Linked DNA regions of Nothobranchius furzeri. The protein of the gene in region 3 purifies or fractionates together with the protein of the main gene of each other region. This does not show direct contact. Links are inferred from orthologs where the notes say so. Each region holds a gene or a part of one and is shown on either strand. Other genes may lie near its edges. The genes, in order: usp13, wapla, smc3, pds5b and cdca5.

Region 1 (6,368 bases), on a different chromosome or scaffold from region 3:
GAGCTCATGGAGTTATCTGAAAGAGAAAATGAAAAGTGGTTAGAGGCGACGTCGCACAGTTGATCTATAATCACTGGTGTTTTCTTTTTGTTTATGGAGGAGAGAGTAGACGGGGATTTTCTTTATGCAGGTGGGATTTAAAGATGTTTCCGGTGCCTCAAATCCACAAAGCTGTGAAACTGTAATCAGACATGAGGAGGACAGCGGAAGGGTTGCTGATAAACACACTGGTGTTTCATTGAATTCAAAATGCATAAGAGGATTAATCTTTTTGGTTTAATTCTACATTTTTTAATTAAGACCTGGTCTTTTAAAATTCTGGATGTGTTAGCATTCAGCATCTTTATCTAAAATAGTCTGTATTTCCATAGAGGTGAAATAAAAAGGATTTCCTGTTTTAACCAAATCAATTATGTTGAGTTAAGATGTAATTTATAATTACACACACGCGCGCACGCACACGCACACACACACACACACGGAACAACAAATTCATTAAAAACAAAAACAAACAAAAGCACTCAAGTCCATTATGCGTGTCCTGCCTCGGCTGTAGGTTTGAACTAAATTATCAAAAAAACATTATGACTCAATAATTAATGAGGTTAGATAAAGCTGGTTTAACTTTTTTTTCAGATTTAACTCTGGAGTAAAGAAAGCTGAAAAAAAAACATTTTTTCTTCAAACAGCCCAGAATGTGTGAGCAAATAGAAGATAAACAGACGGATGATTGATAATCGAACATATAGGTATGTTGGCGATGTAACCAATGAGAAGCACCGATGCCCTCTGACAGACTGGTAAGCAATGATTCATCCCTGCTAACGCATGGCGGGTCTTTGGTAACAAACAAAATACACAAGAAATATCAACAAAAATATTGAAAAACTGTTTTTTTTTTTACTCTGATTTCTTGTCCACTCAAAGGAAGCCTGATACAAACTACTTTTACTAAATGTATGATCGTGGACTGTCTTCTACAGTGGCCCTCCAGGAAAGCTGCAAAACAAAACAAAACTAAAGAGGCTCCAATTTCTAAACCAGACACCCAAAAGATAATTCAGTGAGTCTGAGAGGTCAGCAGCTACAACTCTGTCCTGAAATATTAAGACCCACTCAAACAAAGTAAGTCCAAATTTCTCTTCTTGTACTTTGAATCTCTAACACATAACTGCAGCTGCCTAAATCACTTTTTTTTAAATATCTCTCGTTTGTTGATGTCTGAAGCAGCAAATGCTGCTCTCAGATGTTCCCTCAGAACACTTTGAGCTCCACATCTGTTAAAATATTAAGACAACATGGATAAGCTGGTGTAGTGGAAGTTTCCAACAGATGGAGTTTGAGGAAATGAAATTATAAAAGACGCACAGGCCATCTGCTTGTATCAATCCAAGCACAATAAAGTATAAAAGCATGAATAATTGGTACAAAAATCAAGAGTATGTACGACCAAAGAACAGGAGCTGAAGGAAAACGCTGCCCTGTAACAAAGATAACAGAACTGTGACATTAAAGATGAGCGGACTAAAATGCCTCAAGTAATTAAAAGTGCAATTTTATATTTTCTTCTGAGTTCATGCATGAGCTGTTGTGCTGCTGTGAGCCACAGCTGGACATTAATGGGAGATTCCCGAAATAGGATTCAGAAAAAAAAACTAAAGTTTAAAATGCAAATGAACACAGATAGATATATTTTCATATTTAGATACTTAAAAACACCAAGACGACACTATGGATACACTAAAAAAAAATATATATATATATAACAATATATATTCTGATTTTGATAGATTTGATACCAGCAGCACATTTCTAAATCAGTTTTCTTTTTGGCTATACTAGCATACTAAAATGTTGCGTAGCAGCTAATGTGATTCTTCACTGGTCTCCTTCACTTACAGGGCATGATCTGACACATGCTCACTCTCACACACATTCCTATATTAAATTATTCCTGATGGAGGTCAGCATCGTACCTCTGGTGTCCTCAGGCAACACGATGGGAGGCAAAAGGTCAGGCAACTCCTCCTCTCCCGACTGCAGCCCTGTGGCTCGGAGCCGACTTAGATCCAGGAAGTCTGGAACGTCGATGGCCAAGTCTGCACCACAGATACAGGAGACGCTCAAAAAATACTAATATGGTGCAAAAGTCCATTTATCCCAGTAATTCAACTTAGACTGAGAGACCATCTAAAGGCTCAGGAACCCTTAGCAGGTGTTCTGGATTCATTTGCTGATTAGAGTGTGACACTTTGAGTCTAGAATATTGAACCTTTTCACGATATTCTAATTGTCTGGGATTTAAAATTTTGGGGATTTCATACTTTGCATGTGATGAGTCTATCTCATTAGTTTCACATTTTAAGTTGAATTACTGAAATTAATTCATATTTGCACCACATTCTAAATTTTGGAGATTCACTGGTAAAGTTAAAGTCCCATTAGTTGTCACACACACTGGTGTGTGTGAAATTTGCTCCCCGCATTACATCCAGATGTTAGAAATTATGGAAGCAGGGAACTTTCAGAAACTTTCTTTGGGTGGGATTATGTCGGCATCAACCTTCACCGGTGTTGACAGACATGAACGGGATGACAGATGTGTCTAAACAGCAGGGGATCCTTTTTCTCATTTTCTTGGGCAGAAAGTGTTCCTATGCCACCAGTGATGCAGTTTGATGGCACCCTCTGCTGGATGTTATCAGTGCTACAGACACTTAAAATCACTCTTGTATCAAACAAAAAAATTACCCAGCTTCTTCGGAACCCAGTCAACACCAAAGGTGAACTTCTTGATCTGCACAATCAGATACTCTGGGAACGAGGCAAATCGAGAGGTTCTGTGGAGAGATCATTTTGAAAGAGCCGATTAGAAATAAAGCTCATCAACGCAACAAAGGTAGGGAGAGTAGAAACTAACGATCGCTGATGCTTACTTGACTCCAGCTGACTTGGCCTGCAGCGCTGAGCTCCAGAAGTCGGGGACGTTTTCCGGCTCCGTGAAGGCCTGCAGACACGCCGTGAAAGGAATGCGTGCTCGCACAGGTTCTGGAGGAGCCCTCATGTTCTCCTCTGCTTCTTTCCGCTTGGCTTCGTAAGTCAGCAGCTCCTCTGGCAAAACAAAACTCATTAGATATGTAAAGATGAACATGCGTGTGAGAAGTAAACCTTCTAAAATGTTGAATAAAATATGGCAACATTAAATATAACTTATATAATATTATACATTTAGGCAGAAATGGAAAGTAATGAATTACATTTACTCACTTTCTGTAATTGAGTATCTTTTTGTGTGTGTGTGTGTGTGTGTGTATATATATATATATATATATATATATATATATATAATACATAAACACACACACACACACACACATATACCGGTACATACATACACACATGTATATATATATATATATATATATATATATATATATATATATATATACTTTATAAGTCGTTTTTAAAATCTGTACTTTATCTTTTACTTGAGTATGTTTTTTTAAAACAATTGCATTCAGCTACATTTCCAATCATATCTGTTACTGAGTAAAAAAATTATAGGCTAGCAACAGAATGAGAGACACCTGCATGAGCGCCATGTCTCAACCATGGGTGTGTGGGTGTACACCTTTTATAATGAAGACGTTAAACAGCCACTTCTCCCTCAGTTTTGTTTAAAAACATCAGTCCAGCCCCTGTGATGTAGTCGCTGTTTACCTCCTCTCTCCCTCCCTCTCCTGTGGGTTGAAACCCACACCTTTGTGCGCCGATGTCACATCATCAGTATTCTGCTCGGTTCGTTAGCTGGACTCGGTTCCATGTTTGAAATGTGCCCTCTCAATTGCTCCGCACGGCAGTGGCAAAATAACGTTCGGTGCTCATAACAAGCGGATTCTATCCCTGCCCTTTGCTCATAATGCAGAAGACCTGCAGGCCTCAGTGAGTTAAAACATCTGGAGCTGGAGCTAATTCAGTTGTAAACATTATGCTCCATCCCTCTGTGTGTGTGTGTGTGTGTGTGTGTGTGTGTGTGTGTGTGTGTGTGTGTGTGTGTGTGTGTGCGTGCGTGTGTGTGTGTGTGTGTGTGTGTGTGTGTGTGCGTGTGTGTGTGTGTGTGCGTGCGTGCGTGCGTGCGTGCGTGTGTGTGTGTGTGTGTTACACATACAGGACTGCATGAGACAGCATGCTTTCATCAAATCCAGGCATCTTATTTCATGGTTGAAGTAATGGCTCACAAAAATAACTTATTTCATAAATAATGATGTCTCAATAGCGTCTACGATAATAATTTATTATATATTGTGTTTGGTCTGGGAGGTGTAACGTATTGTGATACAAGCCTTTTAAATCATGTTTTAAAAAAGTGTGCTACAAGAAGAGATACATGCATGAATAAATATTTTAAGTTCATGTTTGGAGACCAACCTTCACAGTTTGGAGACTCGCGCTGTGTGGCGAGGAGACAGTTAGTTCTAGTAACACCTGGGCATCCAAGGCCTATTCTGACAGGATGGATGTTACGGGACGCTTAAGGATTCCATTTGGATGATTGGAGGATTATTGAGGAAGATTAGAATGAACAAACTGATTTCAGTGGTAAACGGTTAATTGAGTGCGTGAACCCACTACCAAGGATGAACTCTAAAAATCAGCTGCTCTAAATAAGCATGAAGGTCAGAGCGGAGCACTAGGATGGACACGGATAAAGGAACTGTAATGTAGAAGTAAAGTAGGGCAGGGCCATCGTTGAGGTTCATTTGAAATGTTTGATGTTCATTTGGCTTGTTAGATAATGTGACAGGTTAGAGCACAGTCTCATGTTAGAGGTTTGTCATGAAAACACTCAGATGCTTCACATACTGATGGCATCTGAAATAATCACATTTTTAGTCTGAATAAAGAATAATTTAAATCACAACTGAAACGTACAATCCTGGAAAAACCTCAACCAATCAATGTGCATGTTGAAATCCCTCCGTGTGTGTGTGTGTATGCGTGCGTGCGTGCGTGTTGTGAGCTCTCGTTTTGCACTACTTGGATGTAGCCATCCTTATGCTGACAATATCGTAACTAAGTAACTTTTACTTTGAGTACATTTTATTTACGATACTTTTTACTTTTAGTTAAGTAAAAATTAAGGCAAGTACTTTTACTTGTGTTGGAGTAAAAAAAAATGATCAAAGTATTGGAACTCGTACTTAAATAGGAAATGTTAGTACTCTTTCCACCTCTGACATTAGGTCGTGCCCTAAAAGGAGAAAAACATATCTGGCTTCATCACCAGCAGCTTAGCCTCCAGCGTCTGGACTCCTGTACCTCTATTGGTGGCTGCCTCGATGGGAGCTGGCAGCTGGATGCAGTAATCAACCCTCTGGGTGTAACGAACCCGGCGAGTCTGACAACACTGGACTCGCTCCTCCACCAGGAAACGAAAAACATCGCTGGGGTTTTCTGAGCCGGCACTGTTCCTCTGCAGAAATAACACTTCAAAGTTAAATTCACCTCTCAATACCAAGAAAGTTACACTTTATATAAAACAGACACATTAATCGTCGTCATGAGTCACTCTGTGTCTTCACGTCTTATATATAGGGAAGGGGGTCACCGAGGCTTTAGGGTGTATGAAAACCTGGTCAGCCTCTGCCTTTCTGCAACGCAGCTCTTCTATTCTGAGAAGCTACAGAAATACACAAGTTATAATTTCCCTCAGGCCCAGCTCGAGGGGCGACCAGCGGTGATGGTTTTAGTCGGGTCATCTATTAAATCAGCAGACAGCTGCTAGGGGCGATAAAAGGACAACAGTTGTTAAAAATGCATGTGTATCTGCAGATAATGGGACAGTTTAGATCATCTAGAGCTGTGAGAATATCTCAGGTGTGTGTTACTGTGCACAATATGAAAAATAGGAAGTATTAGGTTTCTACTTGGTGTGTGTGTGCCGCGGTCGAGGTAGAACAGGAAGCACTTTTCTCGCTGCTCTGTGCAACAGATAGCTGTGAACATTATAAATGCATCCAGGCTGGAGAGAGACGTTTCAAAGAACTTCATGTGTACAAACCAATCCAGGAGGCAGCGCCTCGTGTTTAATTAAAGCCAGAACCTTTTAAAAACTTGCATCATCGTGTTGGAGTTCTGAGGAACACACCATGCCGGGGATATAGACTCAATATTGTCGCGACTGCAATGAGTTAGGCAGGTGGGTTTGGTGCACAAGTATTACAACTACAATTCTAAAGGAGTTTCAAATGAATTAGACATAGCAAAATGTCAAAATATTAGCAATACTAAAGCTCTAATAAATAAGAAGTGATCTGTGTATGAACAATTGTTTGATGTTGTCAAGAGTCTGAGCTTCACTCACCTCC
Region 2 (6,368 bases), on a different chromosome or scaffold from region 3:
CTGTTCATCAATCGGAAGATGGTCGAGCTGTCCCGACTCCTTTAACAGCAGTCGTTTTTAAAAGGATTTAGGGAAAAACCTAAAAACGTAATAAACTGAATCTAAAAACACTCTTGGGCACAAAAACCAAAGCTTAAAATCTCCTTTCCCTTAAACATTCAGTCTATCTGAGAACACGAATAAATGTCTGCATTCAACATCGTCCCACGCCGACCTCCATACAGACATGAAAATGATTGATTTCCCTGCTGATCAATTATTTCACCCTTGGCTTGGACGTAGATAGGCAGAGAATAAAATGTAATGATCCATAAAATCTGATTCAAAGCCTCACACTCCAACTACACGGCCAGAAATCACCACCTGACAGGGAGCAGGAGTCTCCTCTTCTGTGGCCCTTTTCTCTCCCTCGCTGCTTTGAGGCCAATACACTCGACGTTCCTTGGATTCCCGAGAAGCTTGCGGGATTATTTAGCCTAGCTTTTGCACACAATTCCTGTCTGAGGGTGAATCTGATTCAGACTTAATGTTGGTTGAATAAAAGTGAGGAAATGTACACGTCTGTCAGTTAGCAGGGCTTTGGTTCAGGCTGTGCTCCAGAAAGAGACTGAAGCGTGTGTGTGCGTGTGTGTGTGCGCGTGTGTGTGTGCGTGTGTGTGTGTGTGTGTGTGTGTGTGTGTGTATCAGTGAGTGATCACAGGTTTGTGTGATCATGCGAAGACGAGGAAGTGCAACTCCCATGGCCCCTTGTTGCTGCTGTTTGTGGGGGCGGGGGCGACCAGGGCAGGCTGGGATCCCTTTAAATGTGCAGAGTTCGCCGTGGTTCACTGTGTGTTAACAGTGCTCCAGGTATTCAATGACCCGTGAGATGGACTTCTGTCCTGTGGTGCCCATTGCACACTGCATGTGGAGGAACAAGAGGGAAACACAGGGAGGAGAGTGTGAGAGATAATATGTACATCTGTGCTGCTGGGATCTCCAGCAACAGGCCGTAAAGAATTTTAAGCTTCTGTTCAAAGACGATTTTTATGACGCAGAAGGGTCCAGTCATCGGACGTGACGGGGCGAATCCTATTTAAAGCTGCTGCTAAAAGCACATCTATGACTGCAAAAGTGCTCAACATTAATCCTTCCAATTAGCGATTTTTCCTGAATTACAAAGTTTGAACACACAAACTGTAACCATTGGATGACAAAGTTATTGATCACACTTCTATTAAAATCATTCAAACCTTTTCAGTGGCCTAGTGGTGAAGTGTCCGCCATGGGAATGGGAGATCGGGGTTCAAAACCCGGTGGGGTCATACCAAAGACATAAAAATGGGACAACGCCTCCCTGCATGATGCTCAGCTTTAAGGGGCTGGATTGGGGGGTAACACCACCAAATAGTTCCAGCCACATCTGCAGCGCACCGCTCCCCATGAGGACGGGTCAAATGTTGAGTGGTAATTTCATCCGTGTGACGATGACTAATGAGACTTTCACTTCAACTATAAAAGCCACAAGAAGCAGTTTGGGGAGGCTAAAGAAGCTACCGTATTTTCACGACCACAGGGCGCACCTAAAAGTCTTAAATTTTCTCCAAAATGTACGCCGCGCCCTATGGTGCGGTGTGCCTATTGTGTTGTTGTGATACGCGAACTTAGTAGAAGACAAGGGGCGTGGCGTGAACGTGCGGACGCGAGCGAAGACAGACCTGTGGATTTGCCACATCGTCATCAACATCCTCGCTGTTTGCCTCAGACTCCGGCTGTGAGTCCGTCCACTTCCTCTGCTTCCAGTTCAAAAAACAGCCGTACTATCTGAACTGCCTGGTGGACATTTATCCTTCTCATCATCCTTTATTAAAGCCTAATAAAAGCCTACTAAACTGCAGAGACAATGTATCTGTCCGGATCGCTCCAAAATATGAAGTTTACCATCAATATCTGTCTAAATGTTTGTTGTTACTCGGGTCGCCCCACTCCTTTCCCCGCCAAGCGGCTCCTTTTTGCGCACATCTCGTTACTCGTGCAGCCTTCCTCTCTCTCTCAGCTACATGATGATACTTTTTATCAATTTAATATGTGAGACTTCCACCAACAGCAAAAGGATCTCATGTTTTTGTGGGTTTTTTATGTTCACAAGCACATTCCCTCTCATGGATTACTAAACTACTGTTTTGACAAGTTATCAGATTGTCTAAAAATAGGTCGTTTTTTAGTTTAGTATAATGGGCTCGACACACGGAAGGCGACATCGCTTCTCCTCCATTCATTTTCAGTGAGACATGCGCGCTGCCGCGGATCGCCTCCCGTGTGTCGAGCCCACAACTCCGCTTTTACGTTGCCTATTAACAACATTTAAAAACTGGGGTGTAGTTATTATCTCCTTTTTAAAGCTGAATTGAAACCGAAACTAAGGGGGCGGAGTCTTGCTGCTACAGCGTCCCAAATCAGACCTGTTCAAAAGATGTGGACCCCAGAGGGTTAATAAAACACAATTCAAATCACACTATTTTCTTAGGCCTATTAATAACACACCTTTGATTTTGTTCATGTGGAAAGTTTATGTGGTAAATCCACCAACTACCGGTAAACACATTCTGAACTTCAACACAGCGCATCAGCGCTTGAAGCGGCGCTGCGAGCGGCTGCGACCCAAAAGTACCAGAACCGCTCACGGCGCATGCGCAATCCTGCATCAACACCGTTCGCCCGCTATTTCCCTAATAACACACGCTGTTCGCTTTTATGTCTACACGTTTTTTTTCTCACAAAGATTGTCAAGAAAGCGTGTTTGTCATGTTCATGTCAAATTAAACTGATCACAAAACACAGATTTACTTTTTTTATTTCGTTTTCCTCATCCAACCCCCATAAATCCCTGTGTGTCCTCCTGCAGCACTCCTGGTGTACGCCCGGCTTTAGTAGGAGAGAGACCCGCGATTATCGCTTTGTCGCGCATGTCTCATTGAAAATGAATGGAGGGGAGGCGAAGTTACCTCCCGTGTGTCGAGCCCATTAGAAGAGCACGAGCCGTCAGCGCACGCAATGAGGAAGTGCACGTGCGCTCTAAACCAGGTCTGAACCAGGCAGGACTAGACCAGTAAAGTGAAGCATGCTTTTGGCTGTTTATAATTTTCACAATGTCTGGTTTGCACTGATATGTTCCGAGTCCCGAGCCCGCACAAATGTTTTACCGGTACGTTTTACCGTGCCCATGCCCGCGCCCTGTAACCCGGTGCGCCTTATGTATGTGTTAAATACCAAAAAGACACCAGTAACTGAAGTTGCGCCCTATAACACGGTGCGTCATGAAAATACGGTAATAAGATATTAAAGTTACAATGTGTAGTTTTTACCATTTATCTGTGGAAATTTCCATCGAAATGCTGTTGAAAATTTAATGATGCCCAGTTGATAAATATTGGCGGCTTCGTAACATGTAACCATAAAAGTCGGGTCTAAAATACATGTGAGCGGGTCTAAACCCTAGTTTATGCTTCTGCGTCAGCTCCACGAGGAGATGCACAGAGACTTCTCCATCTCCTGGGGAGTGTTGCAAAGCAATTCCCCGACAGGACAACAGAGGGCGTAGCGCTGATCTGTGGTATCCTGATATGTATCCGAGATATCCACAATAGTGCATTTACTATTGTGTTTGTATTGTGTTGTGCTGACAGTTTCGGCATCACTCAGTCGCCACCATCAGAGCTTTGCAGGGGTTGGTGGCATTAACTCGGCTGTTTATCTGCGGGCAGTGGGGCACAATGTCACTAAACTCTGATGATGGCGACTGTGTGGCGCTGAAACTGTCAACAAAGTAAAAACCAGTAATCTTTGCTACTCTGTGTAAATAAGAACAAAAACAAACTATGGAACTAGAGGAGCATGGCTTCAAAAATATTTTTGTTTTCAGAAGCAGACATAATTCAAACACTGGACAACTTTATTGTACAACCTTGCTGATCATACTCACAGTGAGGTTCATGAAACTCAAAAACTTCTTCAGCATTTCTGTCATGATGGAGAAATCCCCTTTAGGTAGGTGCTCTCTCACAGTAGTCACGTTGTCCTGAGAAGGAAAAAGGCAAAAACAAATATTGTTAAAGAGAAGATAATATCTTTTTGTAGTGCGTGTGTGTGTGTGTGTGTGTGTGTGTGTGTGTGTGTGTGTGTGTGTGTGTAACTCACCTGGCTGCCCTGACAAATGCAGCCTAGTAACAGAGCGGTGTAGGAGGCCACGATGCTGTCCTCCATATGCTTGCCTGCGTGCTGCAGAGCTACAGACAACACAAGGGGAAAATAATTCATTCTCTATTACAATTATCTAAAAATCTAATAAAATCTGATGCCAAATGTCAACGTCCTAATAACGGTTTTTAACAACTCGATAATATCCTGTAGTTTAGTCGACGTCAATTCGAATTACTGTGATTTACTCTTCATCTCTAAATAGAGAGAAAATGTAGCAGAGACAATAATCCATGTTTAAGTGCATTGGTGACAAACTAACAAAAAACAGCCTCTCTCTCTCACACACACACACACACACACACACACACACACACACACACACACACACACACACACACACACACACACACACACACACACACACACACCTTTATTTAGGTCCAACTCTTCATCCTCCTCTTCTTTATTTTCAGGTTGGCTGTCGTTGGTCTCAGACACCACCCACTGGATCTCTCCGGACGTCTCCTGCCACTCTCCACTTTGGTCCAGGGCCGGCTTGGGAGCCTCACTGATGAGGTCGTCCGTCTTCGCCTCGGCCAGGATGGCAGCACGTTCCCTCTCAAGGAAGAGCTACGATTTAGGGAAAAGGCAACAACAGCTGTGATCTCTGGAAAGGAACCACAGCTGGAGCTTCATATTTCAACATAAGTGATTTTCATAATTTAATCTTTAAATTATTCATTTAAAAATCAATTCAACAAAAACAAGCAGACCTTCCTGCTCAGTATTCAGGCAGCTAGAAGAACATGACTACATCCTTGTGAATTTACTGAATCTTGTTTTGTTTTTTAATAGTATGAAGGAGTTTAAAACGGAGAGCCTCCCTGACAAAAAACAGCTTATTTAACCCGTGCAGGCACTGATCACAACCGGCCACTTTAGTCCTGACAGCATGAAATCTCCCCTCCTTCAGGGACAACTAGAAGGAATATGTTGTACCTTCACCAGGGCAGCCAAAACTCCAGAAGACTTGGGCGTGTCAGCACCATCTCCCTGGGCCTCGGCTGGCTGTGTCGCTTCCTCAGATTGTGTTAGCTCAGCAGATTGCATCAGGCTGTCTTCCAAACAAGCGTCATCCACGATGTACTCCATCTCCACCAGACAGTGGCGGTTTCTGGAGCTGTACTCCACGAGGTTAATCAGAAGCCCCAAACCCTGATGTAAACAACAGTAAAGTAGTGGATTAGTAGAAGATTGTGTTCATGCTGGATTGTTTTTCTAAAGTGAACCTCACCAATACTCGCACGTCAAAGCGCTGCTCCTGGGGGATGTAGCGTGGGACTCGAAGGACGCAGTTGAGAGCGGTGGCTGTTAGCTGCTCCTGCTCACCTGTTTTGGTGCTTCCCCACTCTGTGGGCAACAAATATGATCACAACGGTTCACCCTGAATCTCGACAATGCAAAGAAATTCCGACAACAACCAGAAGCAGAAAATAAAAATGGAATAAATGTTTGTGATTTTAAATTTTAAAAAGACACCGTTGTCGTGGGTGAGGTTGAGCAGCACCCCGATGACAGCCCTCATACAGTCTTCCACAGCCTTTCCCACGTTGCTGAAGCTACAGTGTGGCAGCGTTGCAGCCGCCGATGACACGGAGCTGTTGTTTAACGCCCTGCTGTACCGCTGGATCATATCCTCACAGTACCGCAAAGCTCTGGTGACAGGAAACCAAAGGTTTTTATGAGATCGTAAAAAAGCAAAATAAAACATAAAAGATAACGGTGTGAGAGAGAGAGAGAAAAAAAAAAGAGAAGTCAAGGAGACCCAAAAAGACTACATGGATTATTTTCTCCAACTGCTACTGTGTGTAGATAAAAAGTTAACTTTTAAGTCAGTTTAGCTGCAATGAAACTTCCAGTAACATCACCAGAACGCAGAAATCAAATGATGTATGACCTTTAAAAAAAATAAAACTGTTTTATTGCATTTAGAATCCATAATTTTCCACTAAACTTGCAACAAAATCCAAAAAATGCCTCAAATTAAACCAGGTTTGAGTCTAAAGGTTACAACAACATCCAAACACAGCGTTGTAATTGGGGTTTACCTGGCAGAGGAGATGATAAGTTGAGAGTCTTTGTATGCAATCAAGTAGCTCTGGTTCTCTGGGTTCTGCACGGTCACCTGT
Region 3 (6,368 bases):
TATTCAGTCCAAACAAGCAAAACAAAGATTCCACTTCAGCCAAAGTTTAAACATCAGAAAGTGAAACTGGGAGTTCCCCCGGTCTGTGACCTCGGACGCGTTCCAGGACTTGGTGTCCACCCGTCATACCTTCGGCTCCCGGATAGTTGGACGTGTCCAGATCAGTGATGATGCTACGATTTCTGATTCATTTAATTACTGCCATCATGAACTCTGTCCGTCAAGTTGAAAATGTCTCATGTCAGCTTAATGCCTGGAACACACAGCGTCTTCAGCCATCCTTGCCAAATCGCTCGTCGTGAACAGAATTGACACAAAAACGGCGAACGGGAGAGTGATTTGCAAGTCTGTGGCCGTCCAGTGTGACCGACTCTGCGAAAATCTCAAACTCCCGTCTGCAATCGACCAATGAAAACACACCCAGGGAGAAACACGAACAACGAGTGACGAGAATACGAAAGTAGAGTTAACATTAGCAACAATGGAAGATTCAGACAGGAACATGCGGACCACTCCTTTTTGGAGTTTGGTTCAGAGTCTAATAAAAGAAGTGTAACTGCAACGCTTTTTTCAGCATTACTGTTTTGGTTAGCTGTCGGTTTTTAGAGGCGCATACTTTTTGGGGGTGGTGCTCGTGACGTTAGCTCATCGTGCAGTTTGTCTCACTGAAATCTTACGCCATTCAGTGTGCCGCCTCACTAGAGTTCTCACAGCGCGCCAGGAGCAGTCCTGCATGACCGCCGAAAATCACAGTGTGGTCCAGGCTTTAGCGAGCGTGACGCCACAGAGCTTTCAGTCTTGTGTAGCCTTGCTGAATTTTTTCCCATGTCTCACCTGAACTGTGATCTGTCAAAATAGCACATGGCCCTTGGAGTTTTCTGTCACCACCTTAAAAAAATACGGATAAAAATGAAAAATATTCCGTTAACACGTTGGACGGACTATGTCTGGCCCAAGTGGCTGGGGAGAGGGAAGTCTGGGGCTCTCGACTTAGGCTGCTGCCCCAGCGACCGGACTCCGGATAAGCGGATGAAAATGGAAGAATGGACGGATACCATTAACGTGACCCGTGCACACTTTGAGATGTGCTGACCTGCTACTCTGCAAACCCCAAATGTCTTATAAGTCACAATGAGAACGGGCATTTATGTTTGCAGCTCATGTGCTCTGGAATTCTCTACCCATCACAGTTAGACAGGCCCCCTCTCTGGCTGCGTTTCCACCTCGTTTAAAGACCTACTTTAATGGCTTGGCCTTCGGCCAGTGACTCTTTTATTGACGGTTTTATTTGGATTGTTTTCTCCGTCCTGTTTGTTTTTAATGAATGTACCTGTGCAACACTTTGGTCAGCTCTCATGCTGTTATTTTTTTTAATGTGCTATAGAAATAAAGCGGTACAATATTTAATGAACCTTTAGCCGCTCAATTAAGAAAAAATTCATAATAAATATTCATGTGCATAACTGTTAATTTCCAGGGTTGATATTCATTCCCAAGTTCAGATTCTTACCTAGTTCCAGCGGTCACCTCCACACACGTGTAAAAGGCAGGCTCACACTCAAAGTTATTCATGACGATGCCATGGTAACCGTTGATGACATGCTGGTTAATCCCCTTCCGCCTAAAATGCTCCAGGACTTTGTTGATGCTGTCAATACCGTTCAGAATAGCCTGCATTAGAGATGGGAAATAAAGAAGGTAAAAATTCCAAATATATATTAAAGGGAAAAATATAAAAACAATTAACCTAATTCCATTAGAGCACATTTCTAGGAATCCGGCTAAAGTTAGCCACAGTAAAGTAGCATCCAGTAGCACAAAGCACATCTAAAAAGAAGCCATTGTGACATCACAACAAAATCAGATTAGGAAATGTCAATCTCAATACGACGATGCACTAAAATGAACCATGAGCTGCAAATAGAGTCCATCAAACAGCAAATCGGCTGAATCAGATGGAACCAACAAGAGAAGAGCAACCACACGTTTGTCCAAGCAGCCTGTTTTCATCACAGCAGACGTTATTCAAAGGCAATATATGACTGATGTCTGCGCCCAGAAGAAGTGACCTGACGAGGCAGGAAGGAGTGAGTCATATGTAAATTTAGCAAGTTATCATAAGGTGGAAGTAGCGAGGCCGATGAATTCCATTTGATTTACCTATTCTGACAACTGGGTGAGTCACAAAGAGTCTGCAGCATTCAGATGGGCTTGCAGGGAGAGCGAAGCTCTTCTCTTGGGACTCAAACACTCAGTTTTATATGCTAAAACTACCCTGATGTGATAGTTCCACCCGATGAAAAAGGGGATATTTGTGCATGAAGTAAAGTCCCATGCATTCGTTATTGCGTCCAATCAGCTGGAAGCTCCTTTGCTTTCGGAGTGCAGATGTCTCACTGCTGCCCAGGTGGAAGTATTGGTTATCCTGTAGCTCCATTATGCAAGTTGATAATCACGCAGTCCTGCAGAGTGACACAGACCTTGCCGGTGGCCGCTCTAAGAAGCTGCTGCTTCTTTTCCAGGTCCTCTCGTTTGGCTGCCAAAGCCTGCTGCTCCGCGTTCTCCTCACGCCACAGGTAGCTGGACAGAATCAGACAGTCGCAACCTGTTATGCTTATGTCACTAGAGGCGCAGAAGCCCGAGTTGAGCCTTGATATTCACTCCTTGTAACCTGGGGGGTCATGTTTATGGGTTTTTAAAGAGGATAGAAGGAAATTATGCTTTTAACAAAAAAGTTTCTCATTTTTAAATTTAGGACTAAATTCTCACAAGGTTCCAACTGCTCATTTTTCCCGGATCGTTCAAAGTTTTTTGTTTATTCCTAGAATGCAGACGGAAGAGGAATCCGCGGCCGATCTCCGTGAAAAATAAACGTGATCTGCAAATTGTGATCAACGCTTTGCAGAGCTGATCACACGAGCTGTCTGTGTGCAGCACCGAGTCCCCCCCCCGACCCAGTGGCCAGATATAAACAAACGCATCTGCTGAACTTTAACTCCGTAATGTAAACTTTAATTCCTGCAGCGTAGAGGAAACATGTTAAATACATCAACACGGTGGATTTAATAGAAGTTTTAAAGAACAAACTCTGGACGGTGTGAGGTGAGTTTGTCTCACTGCAGAAATAAAAACACACACGGAGCGTCAGCAGTCAGACGCAGCCGCTCACCAACACTCGTGTGTGTGTGTGTGTGCGTGTGTGTGTGAGCGTCAGAAGGCTGAACAATAACCAGTAGAATAAGTCATCATGCTAGAGCAGCTTCTCTGTGGTGGACCACACCAGCTTCTGCCACAATAAATAATTATAATAATAATAAATAAAAAAATTTATTTCCTTTCTGAACTATTTCTGTTGCGTTTTAATGTTTAAAATCTGTTAGATTGTTACTGACAGCAGCTACATTTAAGTTTCACTTTCTGTTCTGACTGAATGCTGCTGCAGGTAGGAAAACAGCTGGATGTTCCTGGACACGTTGGAGACATTTAGCCTCTCATCCCAGACGCTTCTTCCAGACTTTGGTTGTGGTCAGAAACAAACACACTGGTTGTGCTGCAAGTCTTTTTCTTCCCTCCAAAACACGTTTCTGTCTAAATGAAGGTGATGTTATTGTTCATAGAATTAAAACTCATGTTGAAGTTAAGATTATTTCATCAAGTAGGACCTGTGGTTAGCTGGCTCATGTAAAACATGGAATGTCTTGAAAGAATCGGAATCGGGAATCGATAGGAACCGGAATCGAAACGGGGAATTGGAATTGGAATCGTTCAAAATCAAACGATGCCCAACCCTATTTGTAAATTGAGGAAAAAATGTATGCCCTTGTGTATTAAGTATGTCAGACAACATTTTACTTTTGGGTTGAATATCCCTTTAAATGTGCTCTTAAACTCTCAGTCACGGGTTTACAGGAGAAATTCAGGTAGACAGGAACTGCCTCATACACCGAGTCAACGACGGTTATTTATAAAATCTGACGTTAAGGTAAATATGAGGTGACTTACTTTCTTTCGCTTTGGAGTTCATCTTTTTTGTTCTTCACTTCGTAATATTTTTTGTCCAGCTCCTCGACGCGGGTTTTGACCTCATTCAGATCTTGATCAAGTTTCTGAAGTCACAAGTAAAAAGTGGGTCAGACAAAGTTGAACCAGAAAAACTAGAGAATATTTTAGCATTTTGAATCAATACAAATGAACAATCTTGGTGTCTGTTTAAGCTACATGAAGCTGATTAAAAGGCACAAGTAGGACAAAGGGTGATTGGTTTAGTGTTTTAGAACCAAAATGATCCAGGAACAGTCGAGTCGTCTTACATTGTACTGCTCAAGGTTCTTCTCCTTGTTCATCTCCGTGTCCTCCAGGTCTTTGTGGATGGCTGCGATCTGCCTTTTTTTGTCATTGATGGCCTGGTCCAGAGACTTCAGCTCCTTCTTGATCCACTTGTCCCTCTCCTCCTTGGAGGTGAACTGACTGCCACGACCCTGCTTAGCATACAGGTCGGTCCTCTCTTGTGTAGCTTGAGCCAGTCTGAGAAGAACCACATCCAAAGCTGTTCATAGACATTTGACAGCAACAATCCTTCCCAATCAGGATATTTATCCTTGAGAGTTAAGCTAATTAATTCTGTATGATATGGAACTATACACATGAATAAACAAGAACATTCTTGTGTTTGAGCTTTTGAAGTGAAAACACTTAAAACAAAAATCGCATTACTTGCATTTAAAACATGAAAACAGGACACTTTGCAGAAGATTAGTCAAATCTGATGCTCCAGTGTGATGACTGACTCATCAAGTGTGCCGTGTAGATAAGAATGACTCATCCCTACCTGGAGATGCCGCGCTCCTCCTTTTCCTTCACCATGTTGAATTTGGGTTCAGTCTCCTGCAACTCTTTTTGCTTCTCCTCAATTTTCTCCAGCAGTTTCTGACGCTCCTTCAGCAGTCGTTTCTGAAAGAACAGGAGAGCTTTAGCAAATGTTTGGCCAACAAAACAGAAGATGCGTAATGTGCCAAGTTAGTAAAGTGTAAGCTGTCTGCATCACTAGAATACACTCATAATGCCCCGCTCACCGCAGACTGCTCTTCCCTCCACATCCAATAACATTTGAAATGAGTCAATGAGAGCTTATAGATGGTAAATAACTGATGGACCAGCAAAGAAAAACTACATTTTATTTAGATTAATTTAGTTTTTGCAAGAAAATCATGAAAGAAAGTGCACCTATCTGCAAAAAGGAGCATGTTTTATAGTAAGGGCATTATTTGTGCTTGGAGAAGTGCACGCGCACACACACACACACACACACACACACACACACACACATGCACACACACAAATAATTATTTTCCATATCATCCACACCGACCCTGCTCCAGTAAAAATATATTTTTTCCCCTTTCCTGGATCAACCACTTCAAAGTTGATCAAACATACAACTAGAGCGGCCTTTCCTTTTGCCCTGGCGCCTTTTGGCGAGTGTTGGGTCAGCCATGGCCAGGTGGGCTTAATCCAACCACCAGCCAGCAGGCTGCCTGTGACCCAACATAGTTCATACACAGACTGAGCCAAGAAAACCTTTGATTATGGTCTTTGTACTCACACGTGCTCACAGACATTAAACACAAGGCCATATGGACACCGAGCTCAGCCAACTGAGTACATAAAAACAGAAGCCAAGAAGGATGGACGGTGAAGCTGATGGAGATGATTCATTTTACATCCTAAGTCATCACACGGGGATTCTCACTTTTTGACTGAAAAAGATACACAGACACTTTTTATCAAGCAGCAACGTCTAAACCAGGGGTCGGCAACCTTTCCCCATCAAAGAGACATTATTACCCATTTCCCACAGTAAAGAAAACACTGGGAGCCGCAGCGTTGTGGGCGGGGCCTACCCTCTGACAGCAGAGAACTGCTTTAACCGATCACAACAGGTGACAGCAACCAATACCAGTCGCTCATGTGCCTCAAAGTTATCTTTCAACAGAAGATAATTAATAAAACAGTTTGTATAAAATTGATCCAAAAGTTGAAGCCCGTCTGTGCTACAATATTTCGATTTTTTTCACCCTGCTAGTGGTTTTAATAGTTGAGCAGGTGACGCTTTTTGAGGCATCACACATCAGGGTTTCCCTTACATAGGCGTAGCCGTGGCGGCCCGCCACAGCTGAAATCCCACCGCCACGCCTACAAGATCCCAAGTTTGTTTTTTTTTGCGCCGTTTCCCGAAGAAGCAGCAGGAACTACTATGTTGTTGCTTGTGATCACAGCCGGCGGGCAGCAAGGAGGAGCAGGCAGGGCAAGGTGAAGTTACAGCATAAGTTACTGAGTTTAAAATTAGAATGGTAGCAGTGGATATAATG
Region 4 (7,096 bases), on a different chromosome or scaffold from region 3:
TTCACTAACATCTCCACCAAATACCGAAGACCCGGAACAATGTCCGTCCGATACTAGATTCCTTTCCTGTTTTGCCTGCCTTCATCTCCCGGCAAAGGACAACAACTTCAGGGTTCAGATGCGCTGCTTCGTCTCTATCGTAGATGTAGAAAATCACCGGGAGCGTTCCTCCCTTCATAAAGGAGCTTCTTTCAGACATTAGGAGAGCTGTTTTTGTGGTAGCAGTCTCTCCTCCGTGCTGGTCTGTTTGGTAGGTATTTTTGGTTTATTTAAACTTGGTAACTTGAACTTAACGTTGGTAAAGCTACTGTTAGCATTTTCACTAATAGCTTCTCGCATTTAGATAAGCTGTTACGTTTTGGTTTAGAGTTAATCTTTTTGTGGCATAGATCTTCCTTTTATTACATTTAGAGTGTTGTGGGGTTTCGGTTTAGTTTAAAATATCACCTTGAGTTTGGTTTAACTGCCCAGTTTAGAGTTTGGACCTTTGGAGATCCTTATTTTGGTCTAGAACCCTGTAGTCTTTGCCCAGTGGGACATCCCAACTTATTTGTACTTTTGTTTTAATTCCCCACAGGCAGAATTAGTTTTATTACTCCCAACCTGTGGATGGAAAGATTTTTTTTTGTAGTTGTAAATAAACCTGATCATCATTTTAACTTTTAAATCCCGTGTTATTTTCCCTTCATTTTTGCACACAAGCCAAACTCCCCAGGAAGGGTTGTAACACCACTCACTTCACGCACATAAGTGACCAAAACAAAGCAGCATAGAGACACTCTGTCTCCAACCACCTCTCAGGCAGCAGCCTGCACTCCCAAGTTCTACACATCACCAGAACATAACCAACCAACACAATAAAAGCAGTGTTATACAAAATGGAAGGCCTGTAGTGTTTATTCTCTTACAGTAACAATTTATCAGTTTTTTGAGGAATTTATTAGATTTTTTGGTTTTTATTAACTGTGCAATAGAAAAATAATCATTAGATTAATTGTCTAAATAGTCATTAGAATAGTCGACTATTCGATAAAATAATCGTCAGAATAATAGTTTTAAAAATAATAGTTTACCCCCAGCAATCATATCAGTAGTACATATATAAAATAATAATCACCAGTCTGTGATAAACACACACACACACACACACACACACGAGAATCCATCACATGACCACAAACTATCAAAAACTGTTTTCTGAAAAGACAACATAATTGTTGCTGCAATAAATTGTTCAGCCTTTGTTCTTGCTAACTGTTCTCCCTTTTGTCTGGTACAAAGACCACTACAAATGATTTAACACTGAAAACAAACCTGAATTTAGGCACTGTACAGGTCAGACTGTGTTTTCACTTTGTTTAATGTTTATTTATCTACTTAAGAAGAAATGAGTTGTCAAATTTAAAGCCTGCATTATAAATGTATTCACGCATCATGACAGTTTTCTGTAGCATCGTTCAAGCTGCAGCAAACACACAAACACAAAGAACAAACACACTCAACATTGGCAGGTTGCCAGATCGTTTGGTTCTGACCTTCTTTTCCACCCCACAGCTGCTGCCAAATTTGAGGCCGTCCCTCCATCGCTGTACGACACTGACACAAGGAGAGCGATCAGCCAATCATGGCAGGCTATTTCCCAAACTCATGTGTGTGTTACCATCCATCAGGCAACATTCCACAAAAGCAGTAGTAAATAATAACAAGGGGGCTAGCTCTACCCCACACTACAGCTTGTCCATGGGCTGCTTTGAGCTCATTACTGGTTTATCACAGTTAAACACATTTACCTCCCTGTGGAGGGTTTCTATCCCACTGCTTCTGCTCTGCCAATTCTGGTCCTTTAAACACAGCTTCAAGCACAACTTTGAAGATCCAAAGAAATTCTCAGTTCCTAATCTGAACAACGACAGATCCGCCCTTCGGTTCGAACTCCAGGGATGATCTTTGGGGAGTGGGTAAGAGCCAACAACAAGAAGGAAGAGTGGACACCAGCTGGCTGCAAGGGTGAACTTAACGACCTCTGTTTGGGCACTCTCAACACGAAAGAAAACTAGCTAGCACTGTTAAAGAGATTGTATTTTCTTGAAATCAAACCAAGCTGAAATTATTTTCAAGGTTTATTTTCAAGAAGGTGCAACCCCCCAATCTAAACATGTGAAGGCTGTCCTAAACAACCACGAGCCAGAGAGGAAAGGTTAACATCAGTCCCACGTTTATACACATGTGATCATGTGGCCATAAATAAAATAGAATTAACCTACAACTCTACTGAATCACTGAATGCTTAATTAAAAAAAACCTATACACACACGCATATATATATATATACTGTTATTAAAAATAGATGGAGACACGTGGAAAACATGCAAGACCAATAACAGCTATAGCAAAATGACTCCTCACATCTTGTAGTTACATTTTATTTAATTGTAGAGTAGCACATAAGCACTGTTACTGTGCTTCATCTACATATAAGTGGACTGACAGAATTGTGCATTCAACACAGTCAGATCACAACAGACAAATAGGAAATAGTGGCAGTAATTGCACTTTTTTCCCCATTCAGAATGTAAAGTAAGGATAAATAGGCAGCTCTAAATAAAAAATTGCCTCCAAAACATTTTTTGAAGCTGTGGTTATATGGTATTTGACAACATCTAATAGCAAATCAAATGGTGTAAGTTACACATAAAAAAACATGACATTCTCTTTGCAGTAGATCTGTATACTCACTCTAGTTTACGGTGGTTTTTATGTAATCAAAATAATGTGTCATGGCCGTATTATCCCATTACCCACAGAGTGTTTTCCCTCCCGTGAATCACTGACAAACCTATAACGTTGATGATTAGCAGTCAAAAACACACAAAGCTGTAAGCGACTTTTAGTATATTATAATGCACTAATTTGATTACTAATGTCATCTTTTCGTGGTGATTTCTCCAAGCATCACCACACAACTCAATAACAATCCATATCGGGTCAGATCACTAAAAAGTAAGCGTGAGCAAAACCAGCTTTAAATTGAGATAAACCGAACATGCAGAAAGTGAATCGCTTTCACGATTACTAAAGGATAAACATCACGCTGTCCAACAACCATTTAGGACGCCAGTTTAACTAGAAAAGACAAAAATGCACCGTACTACATCGTCAGCATCGTCATATCTAAAAATGATGCTAACATGAGATTTAGCCTAATTTAAGGTTATTTGTGAGCGACAGGTTACGAATAGACAAGCGAACATTATGAATGAATGGAGAATACTGATTCACCACCGCAGCATTTAAAGAAGTACGGTCAGTATAATGCTTGACTGACGGTGGCTAACTCAGCTAGCCGGGGTTAGCATGCTCAAGGTAGCATTAGCAGCAGCAATCTCAGTGACAGAGGGCGGACAGATGGCAACGTTGCATGGAACAAAACAGCCCGGATAACAACCGTTACATGGTTCCTACAACCCCGAGCCGAGCCACACCACAAGTCTCGTCACTGCCTGTTCATTCCACTAGAGTCACCGAGCCTAACCAACGAGCTTATATTGTACTGGTCAACCGCGTTTTTGCGCCGCAGAACCAGGTTGAGCAGCGCGGTGGATCGAGCAAAGCAGCCGAGAACACAAGCGACCGAGGCGGGCTGCGCTCCGCCTTTTTAACCGTTTGGAACCAAACGTCTCTACGGGAAAATCCCAACACATACCGATTTATTCGCAGGAGCGATAGGAGATCCTGCCAGTTTAAAACAACGGGTGTGCTTGTTGGTGCCTTTTCTTACCTGTTACCGATGAATAGTGATAAATCGTGTCCTCCTCTGCAGCTCTCTTTCCCCTCCTAGCTCCAAAATGGCGCCAACATGCATAGATTCAGAGCCCATGGGTACAACCCATCCGTGAGTGAGCAGCGCCACCTATAGACGAGTCCACGCAAGTCGTTCTGCTTACATCATGTTTGAATTCAGATTTTTGTAAAATAAAACTGTTTATGAATGGTTTTATAAACAACTCAAACCTTACCTTGTTTAGTGTTTGGGTGTGTAAAAATGATGAAATATTTTATTGAATAAAAGCAACTGCACATTATTTAAATAAGAATACATAGTTTCCTAAAATGTTCAATAGTTTATTATATTTTTCATCAATCTGTTTATTTTTCAGGAGCGCAAAGATGAGCGAAAACCTAAAATTGCACAAAAGATTGTGTATAAATACACTAATAAACCATAGTAGTTTGCCTCGCCTCTGTCAGTGCGCCCCAGGGCAGCTGTGGCTACATTGTTGCTCATCCCCACCAGTGTGTGAATGGATGAACTGTAGTGTAAAGCGCTTTGAAGTCCTTACTGTGAGAGGCGCTATAAGTGCGGGTTGTTTATCATTTAGTTGAACCAAAGTTTTTTATTATTATTCTTTTGAATAAATATAGCTTCGGAAAACAAACACATGTTTTCATTGGTGCAATATATATGTTGCTACTGGTTATTTTCTAAAATCACATTTTAAAAATAACCCTTTATGCATCCTGTAACATTTGTTTTCCTTTTCATAAGTTTATTGGCTACTTCTATTATAATAAACATATGTTTTGTTATTGATTTTAATTTAATAAAAATTAATTTAGAATATTCTACAGAGATTCATTTTCCAACATATTTTCATTGTGTCAAATGGAAGGTGTTTTACAGATGGTTTTGTCTTTTTCATAGTTTTATGGACAGTGTGAACTATAGGGGGCGCTCCAATACAACGTTTCTGATTTACAGACATTTGAGCCTAAATCGAGGCTGCGCAGTGGTTAGAGCTGTTGCCTTGCAGCGAGAATGTCCTGGGTTCGCTTCCCGGCCTGGGATCTTTCTGCATGGAGTTTGAATGTTCTCCATGTGCACGCGTGGGTTCTCTCCGGGTACTCCGGCTTCCTCCCACAGTCCAAAAACATGACTGTTAGGTTAATTGGTCTGTCTAAATTGCCCCAGGTGTGAGTGTGTGTGTGTGTGCATGATTGTTTGCCCTATGTGTCTCTGTGTTGCCCTGCGATGGACTGGCTCTCTGTCCAGGGTGTACCCCGCCTGATTGCCGATTGCCCGCTGGAGATTCCCACCCCCTCCCCCGGCGACCCCACAAGGGCAAGCGGGTTCAGAAAATGAATGTATGAACCTACATCCTTTTGAAAATTTTTAATTACTTATGTCAGAATTACACAGATTTTGTAAAAGCTGCAAAAAGTTTAAAGGTTACCAATGAACATCAGAGACATATAATTTAAAAAAATATATCTGAAATTATTGTTAAATAATTACTAAATTATGTATTTTGTGTGTTTAATTAGAACCTGCACACCTGGGTGTCAATTAACCAATTAAAGTGGCTTGATGGTAACTGCATAAATTCTAAAAGGAGGTGCTTGGATCGGTTTCTTGGCTCTAGGATGGAGGGGTTCCTGCACACGTTTCCGCCCTATAACGCCTATGGGAACCCGGTGTGCGCTCCCCCGGCTCAGGGCAGCAGCTGGGGGAAGAGAGAGGGCCGCTTCATGATCCCTCCGGGCCTCAGCTACCTGGAGCTCTGCAAGACCATCCTGTCCCAAGTCAGTCCCGGCGCACACCCTCCTCCCCCAGCCAGAAAGGAAAACACCAAAGAGTGCGGCGTGCAGGTGAACGCCAAAGTGGATAAAATAGTCCAGTGTTCCTTGGGTCCCAAAACGCTGCTGGTCGACGAGCACCTCGAGAGTCCTGGTCAGGTCAAACCGGAGGAAAAGACGAAGCCCCACACGCCGCCGGTGAGCAACCTGCGCTTCCGGAGACCCGTGTCCATCTATTCGCCGGTGTTCGACCGCAGGGCTTTCATGAAAAGTCTCAGCGACGACTGTGAAAAAGAAGAGGCTGAAGCTTCAGAGCAAGACCAGTCTGAAGCAGAAACGGATCACAGTGGCGAGGACTTTGAAAGGGACCAGAAGACCACTTTCCACCGCTCCAACAAGGACTCCAACTTCCAGGTGAGTCGGTCTCTGATACAGGGCGTGTTAGGAATACACTGTAAAAAATAAAAACATTGTATTGCCAAGTGGGCTATAATCGCTTTCAATAATCAACTCTGATAGTAGCTTCAATGTCGAAACTTTGGTTCACTTTGTTAGCACTCCTTACTGAATTTGCTCCGGCCTTCCTCAATCATTAACGCTTTACCTGAACCCCGTTGTATTATGTTTGTAAGTGGATGAGTTAACTATTAAACACTGAAGCATTTAGGCACTTTACAATAAGAGCATAACCCTAGCCTAGAAATCTAGACAGACCATCAGGAGCTCAAGTCCCCCACCTCTCCAGTTGGTCCATGGGTCCTCGGAACAAAGAAAAATGTAATGGAAGGGAATGTATAAAAATTATTTTCTAATCTGCTTTGCCTTACACCCTGAATCACACATTTTATACTTAAATTTAAATGGAATATAATGATTTCAGCAATGTCTGTCACACAAATTGTGATAAACAAGCTTAGTAAGACTTTTAGTAATTTAGTTAATTAGTAAGACAACAAATTAGATATTGTGTGTCACCGCAAAATCTTTATTCCCTCAGCATAGCTGTTACCACATGGGCAGATTTAGTGGTTTTCTTCATGTTTAATGCTCCTTCATTTCTGGAAGAAGACTTCAAAGCTCACAAAATATTCTTCTACTCTTCTCCGTGTCTGGTTTGCTGTTAATTTGGTGAGACGAACATTTGAAGTCCTATCTTAAAACGCAAAGTACCTTTAGTCGCTAATCGAAAAATAAATGCTTTCTTGGCATCAATTTGTCTTTAAAATGTACAAACATCATATGTGAATTCCATGGTGCATTTAAAACAAGATCAGGAAATAACTTGACTTCGCTAAATCTCGGGCGCGGCGTGGCGCGTCCAACTTCGGTGTGCCCCAGGCTTTAGGCTCCCTACATACATGAATGGGAGTCGAGTCTTAAATCTGTAAGACTAGACTCAAACAAAAGGGACATAGATCAGTCAATTTTGCCAGATTTGTTCCTACATAAATCCAAAAAAATAAATGGCATTTTGTATTTTAGTTCCTGGAGCAGAGGTATGGATTTTTCCACTGTAAGAAGT
Region 5 (5,777 bases), on a different chromosome or scaffold from region 3:
ACTAAACTCCCTACCCGCTCAGCTAAAACTAAACTCCCTACCCACTGAGCTAAAACTAAACTCCCTACCCGCTCAGCTAAAACTAAACTCCCTACCCGCTGAGCTAAAACTAAACTCCCTACCCGCTGAGCTAAAACTAAACTCCCTACCCGCTGAGCTAAAACTAAACTACCTACCCGCTGAGCTAAAACTAAACTCCCTACCCGCTGAGCTAAAACTAAACTCCCTACCCGCTGAGCTAACACTAAACTCCCTACCCGCTGAGCTAACACTAAACTCCCTACCCGCTGAGCTAAAACTAAACTCCCTACCCGCTGAGCTAAAACTAAACTCCCTACCCGCTGAGCTAAAACTAAACTCCCTACCCGCTGAGCTAAAACTAAACTCCCTACCCGCTGAGCTAAAACTAAACTCCCTACCCGCTGAGCTAAAACTAAACTCCCTACCCGCTGAGCTAACACTAAACTCCCTACCCGCTGAGCTAAAACTAAACTCCCTACCCGCTGAGCTAAAACTAAACTCCCTACCCGCTGAGCTAAAACTAAACTCCCTACCCGCTGAGCTAAAACTAAACTCCCTACCCGCTGAGAGTATGTTTCTAACAAAGGACTCAAAAAAAGGCTAAAGTCTAAAGAACAATGTCCACATGAATAGTTTTAAACTCGTTTAATCTGCTGTTTAAAGAGCAAGTCACCCCCCCACAAGAAACTTACTTCACTCCCACTTCATGTTTGAAAAATGCAACACATGCTGTTGCCTAGCAGACCGAGAGGGTGGAGCCGCCAACAAATACACACACACTCAGGCTCACAATGGCATTGTGACATCATAATGTACCAGTTTACATCATAGCATACCTCTTAGCCAATAGCGGTGGCAGATTTAAATTCAAATGCAGTGCAGTTTTTACCTGACGATGGCACAACACTGCCAGTTTTAGGTAGAATATTTAAATTTTAACTAAGATGCACTGAAGTGCCAAATTATTGACGACACGTGTCTGCAGCACGATTAGACACTCGTTTATTTAGTTTATCAGCAAAAAAAGTTGATTTGGGGGTGACTTGCTCTTTAAGTAGCCTTTTATTTTTAGAAAATGTTTGTAATTTTAATTGTTTTTCTTTGATTTGATTATTTAAATGTGTTCTACCTTTTACAAAAGGTGTCTGTGGACAAGTGCTGCAAATTAGCATTCATGCTAACACACTGAAACCATGCATCTGGTTTGTCTGATGTAATTGCTGTCCATATCACACACACACGGTGTTTTAGGGTTTGAATCTTGTCTTTAGCTTCAGCCTCTGTTAACCGAGGTCAGCTGTTGGTTTCTACCTAAATTCATTCATTCATAGTAAAGCGCTGGATTAAGTCCTCTGAACGGACCAGGTGTTCACTGAGAGACACAATGATGTGAATTACAGTAAATGTGTTATCTACATTCACCCTTTCATCAGTACCAGGGTTGTTTATATTTAAATTAATGCTGTCAGGTAAAGTGCTGATGTCATGGAGTGTGTGACCAATCGTGTGTTCTGGTCTGAAGTTTGGTTTTAAACACAGTAAATGTGTGATCATGGTCAATGTTGTTGTTTGTGTTTAACACTAACCCAGACTAACTGTAGCCCAGATTAACTATAACCCAGGTTAACTGTAGCCCAGACTAACTATAACCCAGGTTAACTGTAGCCCAGACTAACTATAACCCAGGTTAACTGTAGCCCAGACTAACTATAACCCAGGTTAACTGTAGCCCAGATTAACTATAACCCAGGTTAACTGTAGCCCAGATTAACTCTAATCTGAAGTGACGTGTGAACAGGTCAACAGGCAGGGTGCTTGCTTCAGTGTGGGTTTATTAGGAAGCAGAAAGGAAAACTGACAGGAAAACCTGGAAAAGTCCAACAAAAAACTCCACAAAGCCAGAAAAGCAGCTTTAACCTGAAGTCAGTTCAACTCTGTCAGCAGAGACGTTCTGGTTCTGGTTCGGTTCTACTGGGCTCGTGTTGTTTCTCTGGTTTATTCAGTAAAGAATACTGCATCAGAACCGGTCTGGGATCTGATCAGAACCGCTTAACCAGAACAAAGTCCGTTTTGATTTATCCAGAACTCTCAAGCTACAGAGCCGACACAGGAAGTCCAAATGGACCGAACCATGATGGTGTAGAGAAAAAAACCTTCACGAGCTACATATACAATCCATCAAGAGTCCCGGACGTATTTACACCCCCACCACCCCTCCAGTCAAAGATCCATACGCTGGTTCTGGTGGGTTCGGTTCTACTCCACCACCAACTCGAACTCCTCGGCCTCCCGGAACTCCGCGTTCATCTGAGCGGCCAGATGGTCCAGCTCGGCCGAGTCAATCTGCGGCACCTTCCGCCTCCTCCTCCGCTCCTTTGACACCGACACTCCGGGGATGTTCGGGTCCGGTTCAGCAAAGCCCTCGTCGGTCGATTCAGTGAAAGACGTGATGGGTCCAGAAACTTCCAGAGCGTCCCTGGTCTGCTTGGACTTCCGGACAACCTCCGGGGTCCTCAGCCTCTCGAAGCCGAATAACGTTTCTCTGGAGTCGGGGCTACTGTGGAGGGAACTGTCGCTGAGCCTGCTATAGGACCGGCGGGCTTTCTGCGCACACACGCCGGCCTCTGGTTCAGCAGCCGGCTGCTGGGTCCGACAGGAGTCCGGTGGGGAGGACGGGAGGATCCGTGAGGGCATGGGCGCCTGCTGCTTCTTCCTCGCGGCGGAGGAGGAGGCCCTGCGGTCCGGGCCGGGATCGGGGGTTGAGACTTTGGTCTTCAGCTGCTGTACCTGCTCGGAGTGCCTCGGCGTGTTCTCCTTGTTGTGTTTAGACGAAGCGCTCGTTTTTCTGGGCGCTATTTTCCGCACGGTGATGGAGCGTTTAATTCCCAGCGCCATCTTCTCACCTCCCAGCGGAGCTTGCGGAGAACTGAACCGCGGCGAGCGTCTTCGCTGCGGCCCGAGAGGACCGTTAGCTCCCGCCATCGCCCCATGAGGCGAGCCTTCGTCCATGCTGAAATCTGCCCACTAACAGCGAATTATTCACTCGGTTTCGATTGAATCTCCTCCGGTTGCTCAAACAACGGCGCCACTTTCGAAATTACCCGCTCGAGTCGCACGGTGATGACGACAACATCATCGTGACTCTAACAAGCCGCGCCAGTGGAAGAGCAAAGTTTTTGCTGTGTAATCCGGACGCTTGACGCTCATACTTGACTGCTGTCTCACCTGATTTTCACCGTTATTCCGTGTTGGTTCGGTTGGAGACGATGGAATATTTAATCGGTATACAGGGACCGGATTTCGTTCTCGTCGCAGCCGATAATGTGGCCGCCAGCAGCATCATTCAGATGAAACACGGTGTGTTAGCTACCTAGCTTAGCATTAGCTCTTCTCTCATTTGATTCTGTTTCTGTTTGTCAGACGCGTGTCTGCGTATAAGTCTTTATATTTTAGGATTTGCTGTTTCATTCTAACGCATTAATGACCATTTGTCACATTTTATTTGCCAAAGGAGATTAAAAAGTAAGACAATAAAGCCATTACCGGCCAATGAGAGGTACGATGAGCCTTTTAGAAATCAAACTTAGCTTCTGAGTTTAGTTCTGAGCTTTAGGATGTTTATATGCTTTATTCTAGCCTGCTAAATCTCGTGGTGAGCGACCCCGGCGGTGAAAGTGAAAGTCCGGTTGTGTTCAACAGAAACCAAATCAAACTGGTTCTGATCTAAAACAGTGCACATGTGTTACTGATCGTTGTTTAAAGTTAGATGTAAATGAATCTGATCTGAAGGGATGCTTCAGTCCAACCTCCTGGTTCTTTTTCAAAGTGATGTTTTCTCATCACTCGCCTGAATCCGGACCTGGTTTCTGTTTTTGGGGCGACTGGTGCTGACATCTGGCTTTTTTCAGAGGATGACTTTCACACTGAGTTTTGTTCTTTGGTGTCTCAGATTATGACAAAATGTTCAAGCTGAGTGAAAAGATCCTGCTGCTGTGTGTCGGAGAGGCCGGAGACACGGTGCAGTTCGCGGAGTACATCCAGAAGAACGTTCAGCTGTACAAGATGAGAAATGGTATGATGTGGTTGTGGCGCTCTTCCTTAGTTTCACCGTTTGTCACCAACAATTACTGATGCTTGTTTCCTGGTTTTAGGTTATGAACTCAGTCCAACAGCAGCAGCAAACTTCACACGGAAGAACCTTGCAGATTATCTCCGGAGCAGGGTTGGTATTCTGCACCACCGCTTTAAACAACTGTAATTATAATAATCTGTAAAAGTACGATTTTTACCGCTGGGGTGAAAATCCCGGTTTTTCTTGACTCCAGCGATGAGTCGGCTAAACCGCTGGCTGTTGAACCAGGTTTCTGTCCATGTTTTAGAAACGGCATGTTGCCCAGCGCTGCGCTAGTAGGAGGAAGCTGAAAACTTTGTGTGACATGTTTTCAGCAGTAAATCCTGTTGGATTGGGACTTGTTGTTGATGACCTGTTTTAGCCGACCAACGGTGTAACATTTACTTGTTTTCTATTGACCCTTTGCACCAACGCCACCTAATCACGTGAGTCGACCATATTGGTCTGCAAAAGCACGTGAACAGTGAGCGACACGAGTACTAAACAAGGGGAAATGTGGAGCCTGAAATTGTGTTTCATTGTAGTTGTTTGTTGCCACATTTAGCGTTCCTTCTACTGGTCCAAGCCCAGTTTGGTTACAGAAGAAGTGGCGCACCTGGGTGGGGCTCAGCGAGAGTGGCCTTTACTAAAGCTCCGTGTTAACCGCTTACAGACGTTAGCTGAAGTTCCGTCTGCGGCCGTTAGCCGGTGGAAACAAGGTGCAGACTTTGCCGAAACTCACCTAGCTGGCTTCATAACTGTTTAAAACGTCGTTTCACTTTACACTTTAAGAAGTCCGGATCCTGCTGGTGGTGGTGTCACGGTTCAGCCGCTGCTCTCACACCGGGTTCACACAAGGTATCACTCAACAGTGACGCTCGCACTAAAGAAACTAATGTTAACACGTCATCTAACGTTGGAGCAGTAATATTGTAAATAATCATCTACAGTGGACAGTACCACACGTCCTCCATGGTGAAGTGTCCATCCATAGTAAACACATCACATCTGTCCCCGTCTTCCTCATTGGCCGACACTGGCAGAGTTCGCCCCGCTGGATTTATAACGCCGTGTGATAAAAAGCAACGTTCCGCTGCTGTTTCTTACCAGTATCAGCTGATGGAGGGCTTTAGTTGTGTTGCGCCGTTCGTGTCAGCGGACACGGTAGGGGCGGGGCCTGACGCTTAGCCTGGCGGGCCGCCGGGCTTCTAAAGCGCTGGGGGAACCCTGCGTTCTTTCATAATCTGTTGTGGAATTGTGGACGGCAGACGCTTTTCCGCTTCGCGCCTCACTTTTTTTACAGGAACGGCCCAAAACGATCTCCTGACACAAGGATTTTCTGCTTCTTGATCACGTGACGTATGCGGATGAAGATCGGCTTTAGAGCTGAGATGTTTGTTCTCTCGGCGCGGGGGCTCGTCCGACGCCCACACACTAAAAACATGCATATGACGTCTTTAGTCGTCAGTGGCAGTGAACGAGTTAATACAAATGCTGCAGTCAGGCGGAGCTAGGCACCTAAAACCAAACATGACTTGTTCACAAGAGGCATGGTGGCCAGGTTGAAGCGCTTCATCTTCCAATCATAACTCAGGAGATAGCAGGAGACACCAAGGCACGCCTCTGTAGCACGGCTGCTCCAGTC

The links.
Region 1: the proteins of smc3 (region 3) and usp13 purify together in Homo sapiens (affinity purification with mass spectrometry; 4 studies listed by BioGRID and IntAct, with this or other methods). This does not show direct contact. The link is inferred for Nothobranchius furzeri from reciprocal best matches to the Homo sapiens genes SMC3 and USP13.
Region 2: the proteins of smc3 (region 3) and wapla purify together in Homo sapiens (affinity purification with mass spectrometry; 7 studies listed by BioGRID and IntAct, with this or other methods). This does not show direct contact. The link is inferred for Nothobranchius furzeri from reciprocal best matches to the Homo sapiens genes SMC3 and WAPL.
Region 4: the proteins of smc3 (region 3) and pds5b purify together in Homo sapiens (co-immunoprecipitation; 7 studies listed by BioGRID and IntAct, with this or other methods). This does not show direct contact. The link is inferred for Nothobranchius furzeri from reciprocal best matches to the Homo sapiens genes SMC3 and PDS5B.
Region 5: the proteins of smc3 (region 3) and cdca5 purify together in Homo sapiens (affinity purification with mass spectrometry; 7 studies listed by BioGRID and IntAct, counting the BioPlex papers as one, with this or other methods). This does not show direct contact. The link is inferred for Nothobranchius furzeri from reciprocal best matches to the Homo sapiens genes SMC3 and CDCA5.

Annotation. Positions count from the first base shown.
Region 1 is NC_091748.1:59,218,137-59,224,504, forward strand, and holds part of usp13 (ubiquitin carboxyl-terminal hydrolase 13), read right to left. Parts: coding exon 6,365-6,368; intron 5,474-6,364; coding exon 5,320-5,473; intron 3,112-5,319; coding exon 2,937-3,111; intron 2,841-2,936; coding exon 2,752-2,840; intron 2,100-2,751; coding exon 1,977-2,099; intron 17-1,976; coding exon 1-16. UniProt on the Homo sapiens protein: Deubiquitinase that mediates deubiquitination of target proteins such as BECN1, MITF, SKP2 and USP10 and is involved in various processes such as autophagy, endoplasmic reticulum-associated degradation (ERAD), cell cycle progression or DNA damage response.
Region 2 is NC_091752.1:29,593,881-29,600,248, reverse strand, and holds the end of wapla (wings apart-like protein homolog), read right to left. Parts: intron 6,365-6,368; coding exon 6,288-6,364; intron 5,895-6,287; coding exon 5,719-5,894; intron 5,590-5,718; coding exon 5,474-5,589; intron 5,395-5,473; coding exon 5,179-5,394; intron 4,810-5,178; coding exon 4,608-4,809; intron 4,266-4,607; coding exon 4,177-4,265; intron 4,058-4,176; coding exon 3,962-4,057; intron 901-3,961; coding exon 835-900; 3' UTR 639-834; downstream 1-638. UniProt on the Homo sapiens protein: Regulator of sister chromatid cohesion in mitosis which negatively regulates cohesin association with chromatin. Involved in both sister chromatid cohesion during interphase and sister-chromatid resolution during early stages of mitosis.
Region 3 is NC_091744.1:4,678,445-4,684,812, forward strand, and holds part of smc3 (structural maintenance of chromosomes protein 3), read right to left. Parts: intron 4,951-6,368; coding exon 4,829-4,950; intron 4,525-4,828; coding exon 4,311-4,524; intron 4,107-4,310; coding exon 4,003-4,106; intron 2,581-4,002; coding exon 2,481-2,580; intron 1,672-2,480; coding exon 1,511-1,671; intron 1-1,510. UniProt on the Homo sapiens protein: Central component of cohesin, a complex required for chromosome cohesion during the cell cycle. The cohesin complex may form a large proteinaceous ring within which sister chromatids can be trapped.
Region 4 is NC_091750.1:62,005,640-62,012,735, forward strand, and holds the start of pds5b (sister chromatid cohesion protein PDS5 homolog B), read right to left. Parts: upstream 3,887-7,096; 5' UTR 3,779-3,886; intron 1-3,778. Other genes in the region: zar1l (protein ZAR1-like), read left to right, coding at 5,422-5,988, 7,057-7,096. UniProt on the Homo sapiens protein: Regulator of sister chromatid cohesion in mitosis which may stabilize cohesin complex association with chromatin. May couple sister chromatid cohesion during mitosis to DNA replication.
Region 5 is NC_091759.1:26,795,839-26,801,615, forward strand, and holds cdca5 (sororin), read right to left. Parts: upstream 3,031-5,777; coding exon 2,278-3,030; 3' UTR 1,836-2,277; downstream 1-1,835. UniProt on the Homo sapiens protein: Regulator of sister chromatid cohesion in mitosis stabilizing cohesin complex association with chromatin. May antagonize the action of WAPL which stimulates cohesin dissociation from chromatin.